3 linked regions of the Rattus norvegicus genome follow. The main gene of each other region encodes a partner of the protein of the gene in region 2 in a complex. Links are inferred from orthologs where the notes say so. Each region holds a gene or a part of one and is shown on either strand. Other genes may lie near its edges.

What was found.
Region 1: Ercc3 (region 2) and Gtf2f2 share a complex: the UniProt entries of both Homo sapiens proteins name them as parts of the TBP-based Pol II pre-initiation complex. The link is inferred for Rattus norvegicus from reciprocal best matches to the Homo sapiens genes ERCC3 and GTF2F2.
Region 3: Ercc3 (region 2) and Polr2k share a complex: the UniProt entries of both Homo sapiens proteins name them as parts of the TBP-based Pol II pre-initiation complex. The link is inferred for Rattus norvegicus from reciprocal best matches to the Homo sapiens genes ERCC3 and POLR2K.

What each region holds. Positions count from the first base shown.
Region 1 is NC_086033.1:57,626,657-57,632,253, forward strand, and holds part of Gtf2f2 (general transcription factor IIF subunit 2), read right to left. Parts: exon of another isoform or gene 3,198-5,597; coding exon 3,054-3,197; exon of another isoform or gene 1-3,053. UniProt on the Homo sapiens protein: TFIIF is a general transcription initiation factor that binds to RNA polymerase II and helps to recruit it to the initiation complex in collaboration with TFIIB.
Region 2 is NC_086036.1:24,184,416-24,190,862, reverse strand, and holds the end of Ercc3 (general transcription and DNA repair factor IIH helicase subunit XPB), read right to left. Parts: intron 2,681-6,447; coding exon 2,549-2,680; 3' UTR 2,320-2,548; downstream 1-2,319. UniProt on the Homo sapiens protein: ATP-dependent 3'-5' DNA helicase/translocase. Binds dsDNA rather than ssDNA, unzipping it in a translocase rather than classical helicase activity. Component of the general transcription and DNA repair factor IIH (TFIIH) core complex.
Region 3 is NC_086025.1:69,238,958-69,245,504, forward strand, and holds Polr2k (DNA-directed RNA polymerases I, II, and III subunit RPABC4), read left to right. Parts: upstream 1-2,275; 5' UTR 2,276-2,358; intron 2,359-3,062; 5' UTR 3,063-3,071; coding exon 3,072-3,132; intron 3,133-3,469; coding exon 3,470-3,562; intron 3,563-5,364; coding exon 5,365-5,387; 3' UTR 5,388-5,622; downstream 5,623-6,547. UniProt on the Homo sapiens protein: DNA-dependent RNA polymerase catalyzes the transcription of DNA into RNA using the four ribonucleoside triphosphates as substrates.

The sequences.
Region 1 (5,597 bases), on a different chromosome or scaffold from region 2:
TTTCGATGGCTTGCATTTTTAAAGGAAATGTTATGTGTGTTTCTATACATGGAGGAATACTAGACAAAGCACAGCAAATGCTAAACTTCACCAAGTCCTGGGGAGAAATAACAGGTTTCCTCTGATGTTTCATATTTTATTTTTATTATCACTTTTAAATTATTATTTTATTACATGTAGGTGAGTGGTCTGCCTGCCTGCCTGCCTGCCTGTCTGTGCATATCTGGTACCCATGAGAGCCAGATGAGAACACTGGATCCCCATGTTCTAGATGGTTATGTGATGTCATGTGGTAATGGGAATCAAACCTTGGTCCCCTGGAAGAACAGCTAGCACTCTAACCACGAAGCCATCCCTACAACCCCCAAATGTTTCACATTTTAAAGAGAGTAAAAAAAAAGCTAAAAACTGAATCACATACAAACATCCAGTTTAAGGGATATCAAATTCCTGACTTTGTATCAGGTTATAAAGTTTGACCTTTTCAAAGTGGCTTAACTTTTGAGAAACTTCTACTGTTCTGGTTATCTACGTAAGCTATATATTATGATATATGTCAGAAAGAGCACCCTAGGGTAGTTTCCATGATAAGCAAATTTGCTTGCAGAAATGAAAGTTTTTAGCAAGAAAATAGAACAGAAAAAAAGAGAAGACTACTAGAGGTGAGTATGGTAGTAGCCCCAGAACTGCAGAGCTGTGATAGAAGACTTGGAGTCTGATGGCAAGTTAGGTATGTATATAAGTGAGGCAGCAAGATGGCAAGAAAGTGGGGTGGGGGGGTGTGTTTTAGTTTTTTTTTTTTTTTTTTTTTTTTTTTTTTTTTTTTTTTTTTTGCTCTGAGGAGACACCATGACCAAGACAACTCTTATAAAAGACAATATTTAATTGGGGCTGGCTACCAGTTCAGAAGTTTAGTCCATTAATGTCACAGCAGGAAGCATGGCAGAATGAGGCAGACATGGTGCTGAAAAAGGAGTTAATAGTTGTACATCTTGATCTGCAGGCAGCAGCAGGAGACTGTGTGCTACACCAAGCCTGGCTTGAGCATCTGAGACCTCAAAGCCTGCCCCACAGTGACACCCTTCCTTCAAAAAGGACACCTAATAGTGCCACCTCCTATGGACCAAGCACTTATGTACCTGAGTCTATGGGGGCCATTCCAATTCAGAGCAGCACGGGATGGGATGTGTAAGAGATGGAGAGGGGCGGGAGAGAGGTAGGAGAGGAGAGAGGGTAAGGGGAGGTGTGTGAGTGTGAGAACAGTGGCACTGGAAAGGGTAGTGTGCAGAGTAATGGCGTGGCAATACTGTCAAGGATTTGCTGTGGGTGAAGAAGCAGAGCTGGCACAAACCTGCCCTCAGAAGGCCAAGGGAGGAGACACAGGAACTTGAGGCTAGTCTGGGCAAAAGGGCAAGTGTCAGTAGGTACATGACAAGACCTCCTCTCCAAAAAGGATCTGGCTGCTGAGGTAGTGTGGCCTCTAAATGACTCTCTCATACAGCAGACTTCCTTTCCACATCAGACAAGAATTTGATACAAGCTACCATCTGTTCTCTGGAAAATCTATGTCTGCACACACTCATTAAGTTAGATCGCCTGAGGTCCACTCTAGATCATTAGTGAAGAAGATCTAGTACAAAAACCTCACTAAGTACCACAACATAATAATTATCTGACCAGGGCTGGAGAGTTAGCTCAGTGTTTAAGAGCACTGGCTTCTCTTTCATAGGACCTGGGTTCAATTCCCAGCATCCAATATTCTTTTCTGGCCTCCCCAGGCACAGACACACATGCAGGCAAAACATCCCCACACAAAGAGTGAAGTGAAGTAGCAGCAACAACAGTCTGAACTGAATCAGTTTTTGGGGACAGACCACATATGTATTATATACTCCACCCTGGCCTTGATTTTGGGATCTTTTTATTGGAGCCCCTGAGTACCTATCTACTCCAGATAGACATTTTAATAAACCCCTTCCTTCAATGTGAAGCAAATAAGCCCAATACCCTGTGTTAAGAACAAGGACTGAGGAACTTGCTTCCCTACCATTACTAGAATGCCCCCCTCTCTACTCTGCCTACTTCCCTGTCTAACTGTGTGTACATTTCATTCTGTAGGAATACATCATCTGCGCTCATTGTCTGGGAAAGTCTTTCCTGTAGGCATATTTACATACAAAATAACAAAAGGTAGACTTCATTATAACCAGAAGAAATACAGCTTGTTAACAAAGTATTCTTTAAAAATATTTTAATCTAGCATGGATGCTGTTTCTCAGGCTGTACTGCCAAAGGGAATTAAGTCATTAGCTGAATCGCGAATACTGAATCATGGGCATTTTAGCAAAAATTAAAAAGACTGCAAATTGCTTAACAGATCTCAGATTGATGTTAAGATAGTGAGTGCAAGGAGTCAAATCTGAGTCCTCTAGAAGAGCAACTAGTCTCTCTCTTTTTTTTTTTTTTTTGGTCTTTTTTTCGGAGCTGGGGACCGAACCCAGGGCCTTGTGCTTCCTAGGCAAGCGCTCTACCACTGAGCTAACTCCCCAGCCCCGCAACTAGTCTCTTAACCACTGAACCACCTCTCCAGGCTCTAACATTATCATGTGTGCAAACATGCTCGCACACATAAGTGCCTGGCTGTGTGTGTAGCAGTCAGAAGACAATTTCCAGGAGTGGGTTTACTGCTTCCACAGAAAGCTCTGGGCATCATCAGCATTTGAACCGAGTGCCTTTACAAATTGAGCCATTTTAATAGCTCTTACATGTATTTTAAATCTAAAGTAATGAAGTGGATGTTCGAAAGATAAAGCTATGTTAAGATCTGTTTTCTGGGGCTTGGGGATTTAGCTCAGTGGTAGAGCGCTTGCCTAGCAAGCACAAGGCCCTGGGTTCGGTCCCCAGCTCTGGGGGAAAAAAAAAATCTGTTTTCTGATTGTTGACATAAACTCTGTCATTAGCAGAGTGAATGTGAACCTGATCACGTTTCTCCTCACTAGTGATATGCTAATAAAGTCTGGTATACTTAAAGATCACTAGAAATGTATACATACCACAGGTTGCTTTGTGATGTCCACCAAGTCCTTAAGATTATAGTACTGATGTTTCTCAAAGGCTGAGAACAGCATGTCTAGGACGTGTTGTTTGTCTGCCCGAGCTCGCTTTCCATCTTCTTTCTTCTTCCTTTCATATTCAATCTGTAGGCAAAAACAAAAGAAAGGTATCAACTCAGCATCTGGAAAGAAATCATTTGGAAATAGTCTGAGTCACCTGAAACCTCACTTAAAGTCTCACACCATCAGGCCTCTGGCAGGGACTCCCATTACCTTTCAGGTTCAGGACAGTTGTAACAGAGGTCTGTAAACCACTTTCAGTCTCTTGTGAAGCTTTATGTAACACATTCATTTCTCCCCAAGGAGGGTTTCTTCCTGGTTAGCCCAGAAGCTAACATGCAGTTCCTTAGTTTTTGATTAATCAAGGTACAGTGAGATATGTTTATGAATTAAACTGCATGCTCTAGGAGTTTAGGGCACAAGCTTGTTCCAGCGCAGGTTCAACTGGGAAGTCTGGGGAGCACTAGTGAAGAGCAGAGGAGCAAAGTCAGCCTCCTCCTCTCTCAGCCCATGCTTTACCACTGTACATAGAAGTAGGTTCCGCAACAAGAAAGGTAGATACACTCAGCGCTGATGCCAGTAAATTATTTTTTCTACATTTTCATTTTATCTCACATCAGGTGTCCTCGAAGTTTCCATGTATAATATTCTCTAATTTTTACCATAAAAGTACTTCTTATTCAAATAAAATCAAGACATCATCTTCACACACATCAGAATGGGAAGCAACTCTCAGCTCTCACAAGCGAAGCTTCTTTTTGAGGCAGATGGAGAACATTACAAAAAGCTACAAATGGCCAAAACTGGAGAACAACTGGCCTTGGGATGCCTATCACCAACAGATATATTCACAACACAACCCAGGAACATGGCAGAGGAGGGAGTGGAAAGACCATGAAAAGCCACAGGATCAGGACATCTGACGTGAGACAGTATCTTCTGTATGTGACAGAGAAGCTGCACTCATTAACTGCAGCACTATATAGAGTTGCCTAACCAAAACCTGAATGACAGCCTACATGCAGCTCGAATGGGGAATCTCCAAGTCCTGCCTCTACATGAAGGGTCACAGCAACTGAGGACCGTGGAGACACAGAGTCACATCCTCCTCAGGGATGAGCCCCTAACCGGTTGGTTATCCAATACAAGTGGTCAGTGTTCTATATAAGAGCAACACTAGACGAACCCAGTAGCTGGGATGTATGTACACACACACACACACACACACACACACACACACATTCGTTTGGTGCCAACCTGACCTTAAACCCAAGTTATCTGAACTTAAGTTGAGAAGGATGGGGCCATCCCTGGGCTGGTGGTCCTGGGTTCCATGACTTCTCCATCAGCTCCTGCCTCTAGGATCCTGCCCTGTTTGAGTTCCTGTCCTGACTTCCTTCAATAATGACAGTAATACAGAAGTACAAACCAAATAAACCCTTTCCTCCCCAAGTTGCTTTGATCATGGTGTTTCATCACAGCAACAGTAGCCCTAAGACAACATGTAGTAGTAGTAATAATAACAATAACAACAACAATCAACAGAAAAAAGGAAGCTAGAGATAATACACGGAAGTAGGAGCGCTGAAGGTAGATGAAGGGGAGGAGGAGAGGGAGCAGGGTATGTTAAAAGGGGCTTGAGATGATCAACATGTACCAGACATATATGAAACGTTGTCACGAAACCTAGTGTTTTGTACAATTAACAAATGTCAATAAAATTTGAAAAGTAGTTTGATGCCATTGTTATCCTCCTGGTATTAATCACTTGTAGAAAATGATCTTTGCACTGAAAACCGGGAAGATAGTTCAGTTGGCAAATGCAGGAGAGCCTGAGTTCCACCCCCAGAAGCAGGTAAAAAGACATACAGCGTAGGGAGTACTCGTAATCCCAGGGTTGGGAGGGCAGATACCTGAGCTTCTGAAGCGCTCCATGCCAGTGAGAAACCTTGTCTCAAAGGAAGAAAAAGAAAAGGTAAAAAAGGCAGTTTATGGTTCGGTGGCCTCCACAAATATGTGCTTGCACGTGTGTGTACACACACATAAAAAAGGGAGAAAATACACAGCTTCTATTTATGTACTTCAGTTGGTTAAGTTTATTACTATTAACTTTTGATTGAAAGAGTGATTTGCTGGAGGAGGGTCAGTCTCAAAGCTCCCTGGGAAATGAAAGCCTTGGTGGCCTGGGAGAGGCCAGCAGAGAGCAAGGCCTGCACATGGGGATGGCTGTAGTGTGAGAACGGCTCTAGAACTGCACTCGAACTTCAGAGCTAACAATGAACTACGCTGTGAACCCCAGACTGAGGAAGAGGCTTATGTTCTCTGAACGTCCTAGGACAAGCTCACAATGGAGACAAGAACCTCCAGCTGCATGCCAGCGATGAAACCTTTGTGGAGGAAAACTGCAGCCGGCCTCAAGATTTTTCTCAGTGAGGCAAGGCCTATAATCCCAGGTACTTTAGGGCCAAGACAAGATCAAAAGTT
Region 2 (6,447 bases):
TAGTTTAATTAATTCTTTAATCCTAGCTATATTTTAGATATTAATTAAACCAATAAATATCAGTACTTGAGGTATAAAACATGAATGTTGTTACTAGACTGATACCTTTTGTGTTCTTTGGATAAGAAGAGTTAACCCAAGTCTTCATATGTCCAAACAGAGTAAATGAAGTTAAAGTTAAAACTAGATATTGTTTTATCTAAATTATACTAAATAAAGAGAATATATATGTATTTACACAGAATGAAAAAAACTCAAATTATTCAAACATTAGTTTTGAATCAAATAGGGGTACAGGGTAAAAAAAGAGTTATAATGAAAAGGCACGATCAAATGAAAGAATATAATATTTTCATTTGCAACTTCATTAAAAGCAATACAAGTATTATTTTATCACTTAGCCTATCCATTACAGTAATTGACTCAAGATCTGGATCTGGGGATGTGGCCCGATGGGACAGTACTTAGCTAACGTGTCCAATGCCTTGGGTTCAATGCCCAGCGTTGAAAATAAACAGAACCTAATTCATGATTGATGGAAAAAGCAAATGTAATAAGACTAGAAAACTAAACCTGAAGACGGTGGGCTCAAGTTACACAATGCTTCTTAGAGAACCTGACTGCAGGGGCAAGAGAAAGGGGCCTAAGGAGCTGGCTCAGTAGACAGCACCCGCCATGCAGGAGGAGGACGGACTTGAACCTCAGAACTTACATATGAAGCTGGGCATGGCCATGCACACTCATAACCCCAAGGCTGGGTGCAGGGCGGAGCCAGGTGAATCCCTGGGGTTTTCCAGCTTACTGAGCACTGTGTTTCAAGTTCAGTGAGAGATCCTGTCTCAAAAAATAAATAAATAAAAGTGGAGTGACAGGAAAGACGTGTGACATCACATTTATACACCTCGGAATAGAAATGACACAGAGGTGGGAACTCCGACCTGCCTGGCGCCTGGCAGCTTTTGGGACCCTCGGCATTTGGCCACTGAACTGGAGCAGCGCACGGCAGGTACCCCAGTAAGTAGCAGCCCCTGGTGTAACGACACAGGCCTCAGGTGTCAGGGACTGTGTTAGTGGTTTTTCTCATTGCTGTGACAAAATAATAAAATAAGGGCTTTACTTTGGCTCCAGCTTCAGAGTGCATCAGTAATAGCGGCAGGACCCGGGGAGGCTGTTCACAGTACAGTCAGTCAGGGTCCAGGAATGCTGGTCCTCAGCTTTCTTCCTTCGTGTTCTAGCCCAGACGATCGTGCCACGTGTTGGCTGGGCCTTCCCACCTCAGTTCTCCTCGTCTAGAAACGCCTTCATAGACCGGTCTGCCTGCGGGTGTGTCTCCCAGATGACTTTAGATCCATGATCGATACCAAGCACGCATAGCCGGTTTTATCATCTGCTTGCCTCAGAATACAATGACCTGTGCAGAGAATTGCACACGACCGCCTCGACAGCCACTCCACATGTGGCATCTGCCATGGGCCTAGATCTCAAAGAGGGGGTGGCTGGCGTAGAGAGGATCACCCACCTTTTGCTGGCGTGGCCGTCCCTCCTGACGTCAGCCTTCTTTATCCCGTTGCCGTGATCTCTTTGCTGCTCTCAGATGCGATTCTTTTCCAGGCTTCCATCCCTAAGGAGCAGCTGTCTCCAGGACCTTTCCATACTTGGATCCAGACTGAGACTGCTAAAGCAGCCAGCCTCACAGACAGAGTGACCAACCAGTTCTCAGCCTCACAGGTAAAATACTGAAACCTCCCAGGTTAGTAACATTTCAAAGTAAGCTAACTTAGTAATACACAGCCCAAATTCCATTTCTAAATAATACAATATAAGACAAAACAAATACCAGGAAGAGAGCTGAAGAGAAGACACAAGACCAGCTTGGTCACCCCCAGGGATCTCATAAAAAACAGTAAACCAGAAGCCACGATATACACACAGAGGACCTGTAGGGTAAAAGTGAGAAAAATATAAAATAAGAAGTAGATACTAAGACAGACTTTTAGAAAGAGGGGGAGCTCTGACAGGACATTATAAGACAAGGAACCTTCAAACAGAGCACTGGGTTTGTGTCCTGTGGGTGTCCTGTGGCCATGAAGCCTACCTAAGAGTAGTTGTTTCCCCAGTGAGCCTCTCCTTGGAGAAAACTAAACTTCATTTGCAAGTGCTCATCAAGTGGACACTGTGTCCAGGGACAGGGGAAGCTGCTCATCAAGTGGACACTGTCTTGGGGAAGGAGGGAAGCAGGTACCTACTTCTCGTTTGAAGCTCCAGAGCTGCCCAAACTCCATTTTTCAGTTCATTCAATAAAATAAAGACAAATGTGCCTTAAGTGGTATAATTTTTATATACAGAAATGATCCACTCTCAACAAGTATAAAACACAACAGCAGCCTTTCTTTCCTTTAAGTCTGGAACCCACTGGCTCTCAGCACAGTCAGTCAACACATTAGACCAAGAGGACATTACAGTCTTGGAGAGAAACGATCACACTGAGAAGTCTCTGTTTTCAACTCTGATCCAGGCAGTCAATCTTCAACTGAGTACAGGGTGGATGTCACTTCCTGAAGCGTTTGAAAAGTGGGTGCACGTGCTTGGTGGAGGCTTTGTTTCGGGAGGAGTGGTACTCCATATACACAGTATCGTCTGCCCCGGACAGAGAGCTCATGGTGCCAAAGCGCCGGGATGCCTGTGGGGGAAAGGCAGAAGCCAGGCTAAGGTTAATCTCCAAAGGAACCTCTTACAACACTCATACTCAAATTCAGAATGTGTGTGTGTGTGTGCGCGCGTGTGTGTTTACAAATGTGTGCTGCTATACCCAAAAGATGCCCCAACATATAAAAAAGACACGTGCTCCACTATGTTCATCGCAGCCTTATTTATAATAGCCAGAAGCTGGAAAGAACCCAGATGCCCTTCAACAGAGGAATGGATACAGAAAATGTGGTACATGTACACAATGGAATATTACTCAGCTATCAAAAACAATGCCTTTATGAAATTCATAGGCAAATGGAGGGAACTGGAAAATATTATCCTGAGTGAGGTAACCCAATCACAGAAAAACACACATGGTATGATGCACTCATTGATAAGTGGCTATTAGCCCAAATGCTTGAATTGCCCTAGATGCCTAGAACAAATGAAACTCAAGACGATGATCAAAATGTGAATGCTTCACTCCTTCTTTAAAAGGGGAACAAGAGGGGTTGGGGATTTAGCTCAGTGGTAGAGCACTTGCCTAGCAAGCACAAGGCCCTGGGTTCGGTCCCCAGCTCCGAAAAAAAGAAGGAAAAAAAAAGGGGGGGGGGACAAGAATACCCTTGGCAGGGAATAGAGAGGCAAAGATTAAAACAGACACAGAAGGAACACCCATTCAGAGCCTGCCCCACATGTGGCCCATACATATACAGCCATCCAATTAGACAAGATGGATGAAGCAAAGACGTGCAGACCGACAGGAGCCGGATGTAGATCGCTCCTGAGAGACACAGCCAGAATACAGCAAATACAGAGGCGAATGCCAGCAGCAAACCACTGACCTGAGAACAGGACCCCCGTTGAAGGAATCAGAGAAAGAACTGGAAGAGCTTGAAGGGGCTCGAGACCCCATATGTACAACAATGCCAAGCAACCAGAGCTTCCAGGGACTAAGCCACTACCTAAAGACTATACATGGACTGACCCTGGACTCTGACCTCATAGGTAGCAATGAATATCCTAGTAAGAGCACCAGTGGAAGGGGAAGCCCTGGGTCCTGCTAAGACTGAACCCCCAGTGAACTAGACTGATGGGGGGAGGGCGGCAATGGGGGGAGGGTTGGGAGGGGAACACCCATAAGGAAGGGGAGGGGGGAGGGGCTAGGAGGATGTTGGCCTGGAAACTGGGAAAGGTAATAACAATAGAAATGTAAATAAGAAATACTCAAGTTAATAAAGATAAAAAAAAATAAAATTCTTAAAGTTCATATACGAAACATAAAAGACCATAGGAAGCTAATGAAATCTTAAAAAAATAAATGTTAGTAGTAGATATCATTACTCCTAATTTTAATTATACTACGAGCCATAGTAATAAAAATCTGATACTTCCACCAAAAAAAAAAAAAAATTTGTGCTGCAGGGTCTGAACCCAGGGTCTTGCACATGCTAGGCAAGCCCTCTACCACCAAGCTAGCCCAGCCATGCGATGAACTGTTTTTAAACAACTCTCAGGCTGGCGAGATGGCCTGGCTGTTAAGAGCATGGCAGCTCAGAACTGTCTGTAACACCAGTTCCCGGGAACCCAACACTCTCACACATACATGAATGCAGACAAAACACCAATGCACGTCAAATACAAATAAATAAATTTAAAAAACATAAGACTTTTTGGACAGCTGAGTTGTACTTGCAATGCAAGCACAGCAACTGGAGCTTGAGCCCAGAACCCACAAAAGGTGTAAGGAGAGAAAGCACTCCACCAAGCTGTCGTGACTTCCACAGCCGTGCCCTCTGACACACACACACACACACACACACACACACACACGTATGCACACATGTATGCACACACATATACAAGTTAAATTTAAAATATCTTTCTGGCCACTTTCATATATACTGCATATATACTACCTCCCCTGATCCTCACAACAACTATAATCTTAACCTACAAAACAGGAAACTGAGGCACAAGAACATGGCTTGAGCCTGCTTGAGATCTCAAGGAAAACAGGACTAGAACATGGCCCAGGCACTCCGCTGTAACAGCCAGCACAGGTCTCCCTTGATGACAACTGCCTAAGAGAACATATTCTCTCTTTTGTAGTTCTGAGGTAAGAAGCCAGGGCTTGGTACTGCACATGCAAGGCAGACTCAGCCCCTACAAAATCTTTCTTTTTTTTTTTTTTTTTTTTTTTGTTGTTGTTGTTGTTGTTGTTCTTTTTTTCGGAGCTGGGGACCGAACCCAGGGCCTTGCGCTTTCTAGGCAAGTGCTCTACCACTGAGCTAAATCCCCAACCCCGCAAAATCTTTCTTAAGAGTTATTGGGGGGGGCTGGAGAGATGGCTCAGTGGTTAAGAGCACTGACTGCTCTTCCAGAGGTCCTGAGTTCAATTCTCAGCACCCACATGGTGGCTCACAACCACCTGTAATAGGATCCGATGCTCTCTTCTGGTGTGTCTGAAGACAGCTACAGTGTACTCATATACATAAAATAAATAAATAATTTTTTTAATTGTTATTAGGATAGACTGGAGCTGAAGAGGTGGCTCAGCAGTTAAGAACACTGGCTACCCTTCCAGAAGACTGAGATTTGAATTCTAGCAACTCACAACCATCTGCAACTCCAGTTCCAAGGATCTGAAGCATCCTTCCGGCCTGTGTGGGTACCAGGCACACATGTGGTGTAGAGGCACAAGCACCCATACATATAAAAAAATAATTAAAAAAAAAAGTTGGGGTGGGAGTCTCTTTAAATCTCCTAAGACTTAACAATGGGAGACCCAGAAAACCCTGGCTTGACTCAGATCCAAAGCCATGAGCAAGTTTTGAGTGTATGTAACAGGGCATGGTCAAGTCTGCTCCAAAGGTGGATATGGAGCTGGGAGCAAAGTGAACACCTTTAATCCCAGTCTTAGAGGCAGGAGAGGCAGGAGAGGCAGGAGAGGCAGAGGCAGAGGCAGGAAAGGCAGGAGAGGCAGGAGAGGCAGGAGAGGGAGAGGCAGAGGCAGAGGCAGAGGCAGGAGAAGCAGGAGAGGCAGGAGAGGCAGGAGAGGCAGGAAAGGCAGGAGAGGCAGAGGCAGGAGAAGCAGGAGAAGCAGGAGAGGCAGGAAAAGGCAGGATGCAGAGGCAGGAGGACCTGAGTTCCAGACCTGCCAGTTACACAGTAGCACCCATCTCAGGCAAAACAAAACAAAGCCGGAGATGGGTATGAACAGTACCCCGAAGCCAGGAGTCTGGCCCAGAGCAGTTTGCACCTGAACCAGACAGATGTCAGGGAAAATGGGCACCTGACGGATGCCAGGTCATAGCCTGATCTCAGAGGACTGATCCAACAGCAGTAAAGGTCACCTTGGCACCCCTGGACCAACGTGCAGATGACCTAGCAAGAGAATGGCCTTGACTGGAGGGTACTGGCACCTGCCCAAGTGGCAAATGTTGCTTCCTTCCTGTCTTGTTCTAGCTAATGATCGCCTTTCAGCTTTCACACCACTGAATTTCAGAAACTGAATCCTCGGAACCCCTGACTCAATTTCACTTCTCTCCTTGAAGGGTGATAATCATAATCTCCTTATGATGCCTTCGCTGATCACACTACATGGTCATGCCTGGGGCACACAGGCCTTCAGTAAAGACAGGTGAAATGCTGGGTCTTTTTAGAAAGCAGCATAGTTCAACTTTTTGAGTTCATCAACAGACTCATCTTGACGGCTGAGCCCTCTTACGGAGGAGGAAAGCAGGGTGAGCCAGCTAA
Region 3 (6,547 bases), on a different chromosome or scaffold from region 2:
AGACTAGTTCACTGGGGGTTCAGTCTTAGCAGGACCCAGGGCTTCCCCTTCCACTGGTGCTCTTACTAGGATATTCATTGCTACCTATGGGGTCAGAGTCCAGGGTCAGTCCATGTATAGTCTCTAGGTAGTGGCTTAGTCCCTGGAAGCTCTGGTTGCTTGGCATTGTTGTACTTTTGGGGTCTCGAGCCCCTTCAAGCTCTTCCAGTTCTTTCTCTGATTCCTTCAATAGGGGACCTATTCTCAGTTCAGTGGTTTGCTGCTGGCATTCGCCTCTGTATTTGCTGTATTCTGGCTGTGTCTCTCAGGAGCGATCTACATCCGGCTCCTGTCGGTCTGCACTTCTTTGCTTCATCCATCTTGTCTAATTGGGTGGCTGTATATGTATGGGCCACATGTGGGGCAGGCTCTGAATGGGTGTTCCTTCAGTCTCTGTTTTAATCTTTGCCTCTCCCTTCCCTGCCAAGGGTATTCTTTTTCCTCATTTAAAGAAGGAGTGAAGCATTCACATTTTGATCATCCGTCTTGAGTTTCGTTTGTTCTAGGGATCTAGGGTAATTCAAGCATTTGGGCTAATAGCCACTTATCAATGAGTGCATACCATGTATGTCTTTCTGTGATTGGGTTAGCTCACTCAGGATGATATTTTCCAGTTCCAACCATTTGCCTACGAATTTCATAAACTCGTTGTTTTTGATAGCTGAGTAATATTCCATTGTGTAGATGTACCACATTTTCTGTATCCATTCCTCTGTTGAAGGGCATCTGGATTCTTTCCATTTTCTGGCTATTATAAATAAGGCTGCGATGAACATAGTGGAGCACGTGTCTCTTTTATATGTTGAGGCATCTTTTGGGTATATGCCCAAGAGAGGTATAGCTGGATCCTCAGGCAGTTCAATGTCCAATTTTCTGAGGAACCTCCAGACTGATTTCCAGAATGGTTTTACCAGTCTGCAATCCCACCAACAATGGAGGAGTGTTCCTCTTTCTCCACATCCTCGCCAGCATCTGCTGTCACCTGAGTTTTTGATCTTAGCCATTCTCACTGGTGTGAGGTGAAATCTCAGGGTTGTTTTGATTTGCATTTCCCTTATGACTAAAGATGTTGAACATTTCTTTAGGTGTTTCTCAACCATTCGGCATTCCTCAGCTGTGAATTCTTTGTTTAGCTCTGAACCCCATTTTTAAATAGGGTTATTTGTTTCCCTGCAGTCTAACTTCTTGAGTTCTTTGTATATTTTGGATATAAGGCCTCTATCTGTTGTAGGATTGGTAAAGATCTTTTCCCAATCTGTTGGTTGCCGTTTTGTCCTAACCACAGTGTCCTTTGCCTTACAGAAGCTTTGCAGTTTTATGAGATCCCATTTGTCGATTCTTGATCTTAGAGCATAAGCCATTGGTGTTTTGTTCAGGAAATTTTTTCCAGTGCCCATGTGTTCCAGATGCTTCCCTAGTTTTTCTTCTATTAGTTTGTCCACTCTATTTTTAAAATAAATGGTGTGAAATAATTGAGTGTAAACGTCCTGAACCCAACAGATTTTTACTGAGTTAAAAGTTTGATCTGTGAGAACACATACCACCTGTACTCTATTGAATTGATCAAACACAAGAGGGAGAATACTACGAGAAAAGCTAAAGCCACCAACTAGTGGAAGTAATTGATGGAGTTGTCCTTGTGAAAACCTTAGTTGTGAAAACCTTGGCTTCAAAAAGGAAGATGGGCAGGCGTTGTGATTTGCGCAATTAATTTCAGCATTGAGGCGGCGAAGGTAGAGAACTGCGCCGGTTTAAGAGCAAGCTCAGCCTGGGCTACATAGACTATCAAGCCTCGGGCTTCCCCTATCATTCCATTCCCCAACATAAAATAGAAGAGAGGTGACAAGAAACTAAGAAAACTGGAATTTGAAAACAACAAACAAACAAAAACCTGCATGGGTATTGAACAATTTGAAAACCGTGATATTGGGAAGTGAAGTGTTGGTAGGGTGGCCTGCTGGTGTTCGCCCAAGCAATGGCTGGGTTAAGATTCCAGCAGCACCTGTTTTGGCTTCCTGCTCTATCTGCCGTTACACAAGCACAGACTCTCGAACGCCGAGCTGTGGGAATGTTTTGCTACCCTGGAGAGAGGGGCAAATCAAAACAAAATCCTACAGGAATTAAGGAGAGAAACACTATAAACCAGTCCCCAACAAGCGCCCTAGTTCTTCGGTACTGCCAGGCAGAAAGGGACAGGGCTTTTGCGTCATAAGTCAGCGCCGGAAGTTGGCGAAGCAGCGCCGGTAGTGTCTCTTGCTTCTAAGAGCCGGAGAAAGCGTTTGCGTGCACAGAGGAGGGACGCTTTCCGGAGCTGCGGAGGTAAGGGATCGGCGGGTGATTTGGGAGGTAAATTGGAGGCAAAACTAGGAGAGACACCTGGCTTTAAAATATCCCTGGACGACCGAGAGCGGTAGCACACGCCTGCCATCTGAGCGCTTGGGAAGCAGAGGTAGGAGAATTCTGCCATCAACAAGCACCTTGACTTTCAATCTAAGGCTACAAAGTGAGTTCTCGGCTAACCTGAATTACAAAGTGAAGACTCTCAAAGCCTTCTTAAAGAACCAAATGCGAAAATAAAGATCCCCGGTGGAGTTAATGTTGAGACAAGCTTTGACGGAGCTACTGCTCCCAGCTCAAATCGGAATTCCTTTGCGGAGTGATACTGGACAAACCAACATGTCCTTAGCCTCCGTTTCTTCGTGTGTAATACCCTCTAGGATCCTGAAGAGTAATAAACATTCATAATGTATTTACTATTGTTGAAAATGTGCTGTATCCTTCAGACCCAGCCCACATCACTGTTTAGGGGAAGTAGATAATTACTTTTTTTTTTTTTTTAATTTCCCCATCCGTAATATTGGGTATTGATTCTTGGGCTTCTGCACACTAGGCAAACATTCTACTGAGGTTTTCCTCTTTGGTCGGAAAATCAGAACCTCGTATAGCTTCTGAGAAAAAGATAAATCAAATGGGGCATGTTTTGTGCGAAGGCCCTGTTACTCAGTCTTTGGCTCTCATTTCAGGCACGAACAATGGACACCCAGAAAGATGTTCAACCACCAAAGCAGCAGCCAATGATATATATTTGTGGAGGTAAGATTAACATTTAAATAATGCTTTACTTAGGAACGCCCCCCCCTCCCATTAAAAAGAATCCTTCCATACATGAGTACAAATCTTTAAAATTATAACGTGGAGCACTTTAGCGATTGTTAATTTTAAAATCCCTCTACCTTATTAAGATTTCTTCCTTTTATCTGGAAAAGGTGTACTGCCTACAGCTCTTCTTTCTCCTTGGTCTGTTCAGTAATAAGAATGTACTTGGATGTTTTGGTGCCCTGGTTTCCTCCTGTTTTTAATATGTTGTTACTGTTTGCTTCCCTGGAGTGTTTCTCTTTCAGGCTTTGAATAAATGTGCTTTCTTTCCCAGAGTGTCACACCGAAAATGAAATAAAATCCAGGGATCCAATCAGATGCAGAGAATGTGGATACAGAATAATGTACAAGAAAAGGACTAAGAGATGTATCCTTTTAAGTATACTTTTTAAATGTGAAGAGGAAGTAACTAATACTTGGGTTGATAAAGACTAAGATCTGGGGCTGGAGAGATGGCTCAGTGGTTAAGAGCACTGACCACTCTTACAGAGGTCCTGAGTTCAAGTCCCAGCAACCACATGGTGGCTCAACCACCTAGTAATGGGATTTGATTCCTTCTGGTGTGTCTGAAGACAGTGACAGTGTACTCACATACATGAAATAAATAAATCTTTAAAAAAAAAAAGACTAAGATCTGATCAAAGTAGTAATAACTTTTGGATTATTTTTTAAGCAGAGTGCATGTGGACTTATTGAGAACTGAAAGAGTGGAGCCTCCACAGGAGGTATACCCAGATTAATTATTTTAATAGGATTTATTTTTCCCAAAACTTGTGGGGTAGAGACAGGCAGCTCCTTGTGAATTCCAGGCCAGTCTGGTCTACACTTAGGATTCCAGGCCAGCTAAAGCTACTTAGTGAGACCCAGTCTCAAAGGACCAACTAGGGGCCTGAGAGCTGGATCTGCAGGCAGGAGCATTGCTGCTTTTTCAGAGGGCCTTAGAACCAACATGATTGCTCACAATCACAGGTGGTCGGATAGGCCGACCTCTGACCTACCAGTGCGCGGGACCCAAATGGTACATACATGCATACAGGCAAAAGCACTTGTGCATAAAATAAACCTGAATAAAACAAATTTTAAAACCCAGTAAATACATTTTTAATTCATTTATTAAGGTTATCACTGGCCTTCCTAAACCTCTGTGGCCTTATACTGGCTAGTTTTGAAGGCCAACTTGACACAGGCTGGAGTTATCACAGAAAAGGAGCCTCAGTTGTGGAAATGCCTTCGGGAGACCCAGCTGTAAGGCATCTTCTCAACTAGTGATCAAGGAGGGAGGACCAAGCCCATTGTGGGTAGTGCCATCCCTGGGCTGGTGGTCCTGGGGTTCTATAAGAAAACCAGCTGAGCAAGCCACGGGAGGCAAGCCAGTAAGTAACATCCCTCCATGGCCTCTGCATCAGCTCCTGCTTCCTGACCTGCTCGAGTTCCAGTCCTGACTTCCTTTGGTGATGAAACAGCAATGTGACTGTGTAAGCTGGATAAACTCTTTCCTCCCCAACCTGCTTTGTGTCATGATGTTTGTGCAGGAACAGAAACCCTGACTAAGACAGGCCTCAAACTCAGAGATCCACCTATCCCCGCCCACCACCTCTACCCCCCAAATCCGGGATTAAAGACATGTACTCCCAAGGCCTGGCAGAGGTTTTTATATAAAGTAAATGTGATTAGCATTTTCATGTACCATTCATTATGGGCTTTCAGTAATATAAAAACTAGTTGATAAGTCTTTTTTACTTTTCAGGAAATCTTTGTTTTTAGTAATAGTCATTGTTGGTTATTAGTTTATGAACAATATAAAGTACGGAAGAAGAGATTAATAACAGTGGAAAATAGTGAGGCCTACAAATTGTTTCATGGTAACGGACACAAACTCTTAAAAGTCATCAATTGTTTCAGTGAGTTTTTTTAATTTGTGTTTATTTTTAATACTACTTATATTAATATATGTTACATTATTAATTTATATTATCTTGTATCCAAAAAAGTAAGCTACTGAACATGGCAGTAGTGTACTTTATTTTTTTAGATAATCTCTGATTATAGTGAACTTCATTCTTTTGTTCATTTTATATTCAATTGCAAGCTTGGTGCAGGGGGTAACTTGGAAGCCTTAGTCTTACACAATTTTAAGTACTGTTTAAAATCCTTAACTCAATTCAACAGTGGTGGTTTTTGATGCTCGATGAAACAGTGGAGTTGAGGAATGTCTTCATACATTTGCCTCGTTGATGTTTCTCTTTAATGTATAGCATTTAACTTAGCTTACTTAATGACTACAACTGTGTACCTATGATTTCATTTTAGAAATGCCAATTGTATTTTAATACTCTGTATAAAGGAAATTTCGGGTCAACATATGACTTAATTTATTGTCCTTGTAATTCCTCATACAGTGAAGATTAAAAGTGTTTCTCCAAACCACTTCAATCCAGTGTCTTGTTAAAAAGCCATCGAGCCAGGTGATTTGTGTTCAATGGGTCTGTCCTCTGACCTCCACGGGCACACGGAGACTCGGGCATGTGCTTGTGGTGCACCCACAGAGACAATTAACTAAAATAGAACATTGAAAATTCTGAATGCAGCTTTTTAGAACCCTTTTCTAAAGGTCTGAAGAGATATGTCCCTTGGGAACGACTGTACTTTGTCAACAACTCTAAACTCTCCAGAGTGCCACTGTACTTCCTGTCTGTAGAATTGTAAAAAGCCAAAAGGAAATAGACTTGGGCAGCGGGCAGAGGAGCGGCTCAACACTTGAGAGCACTTGCTGTACTTCCAAGGGCGTCTGGCTCTGTTTTCAAGCACCCGTTGTGTATATCCCAACAGACTGGAACTCCAGTCAGGGAACTGACACTGCCTTCTGGGTGTGTACACAGTCCACACAGACCCACACATAGACTATAAAAAGTGTTTCCTCAGTTATGTAGGTACACATATTCCTTAGACCACAGAGTTCTGGGAGTTGGGTGTAGTGGAGCCTGTCTAATCCCAGTGCTTGGGAGGTGGAGGCAGGAGGATTCAGAAGGTATTCAAGGGTTGTCTCTGGCTACATAACTAGTTTGAGGCTAAGAGTGATTGACTACTAGAGCAGCCGGTGCTCTCCCATGGTACTCTACTCTGTTGCTTTACTGTATGTCTAGGTTGGCTGTTTGAAGACGGGTCTTGACTCTGCAATCCTCCTGCTTCTGTCTCCTGTGTAACTGGGAGTGCAGGCCTACACTACCAGGCACAGCTTGAAATACTTTCTGCTGTTCAAGAGCTCTGTAAATTGAATAAACCTTGGCACCCCTTGTGACCCTTACTAGGCCTTTCTTTACATTATCTGTTTATTGGTTGCAATACTTTTTTT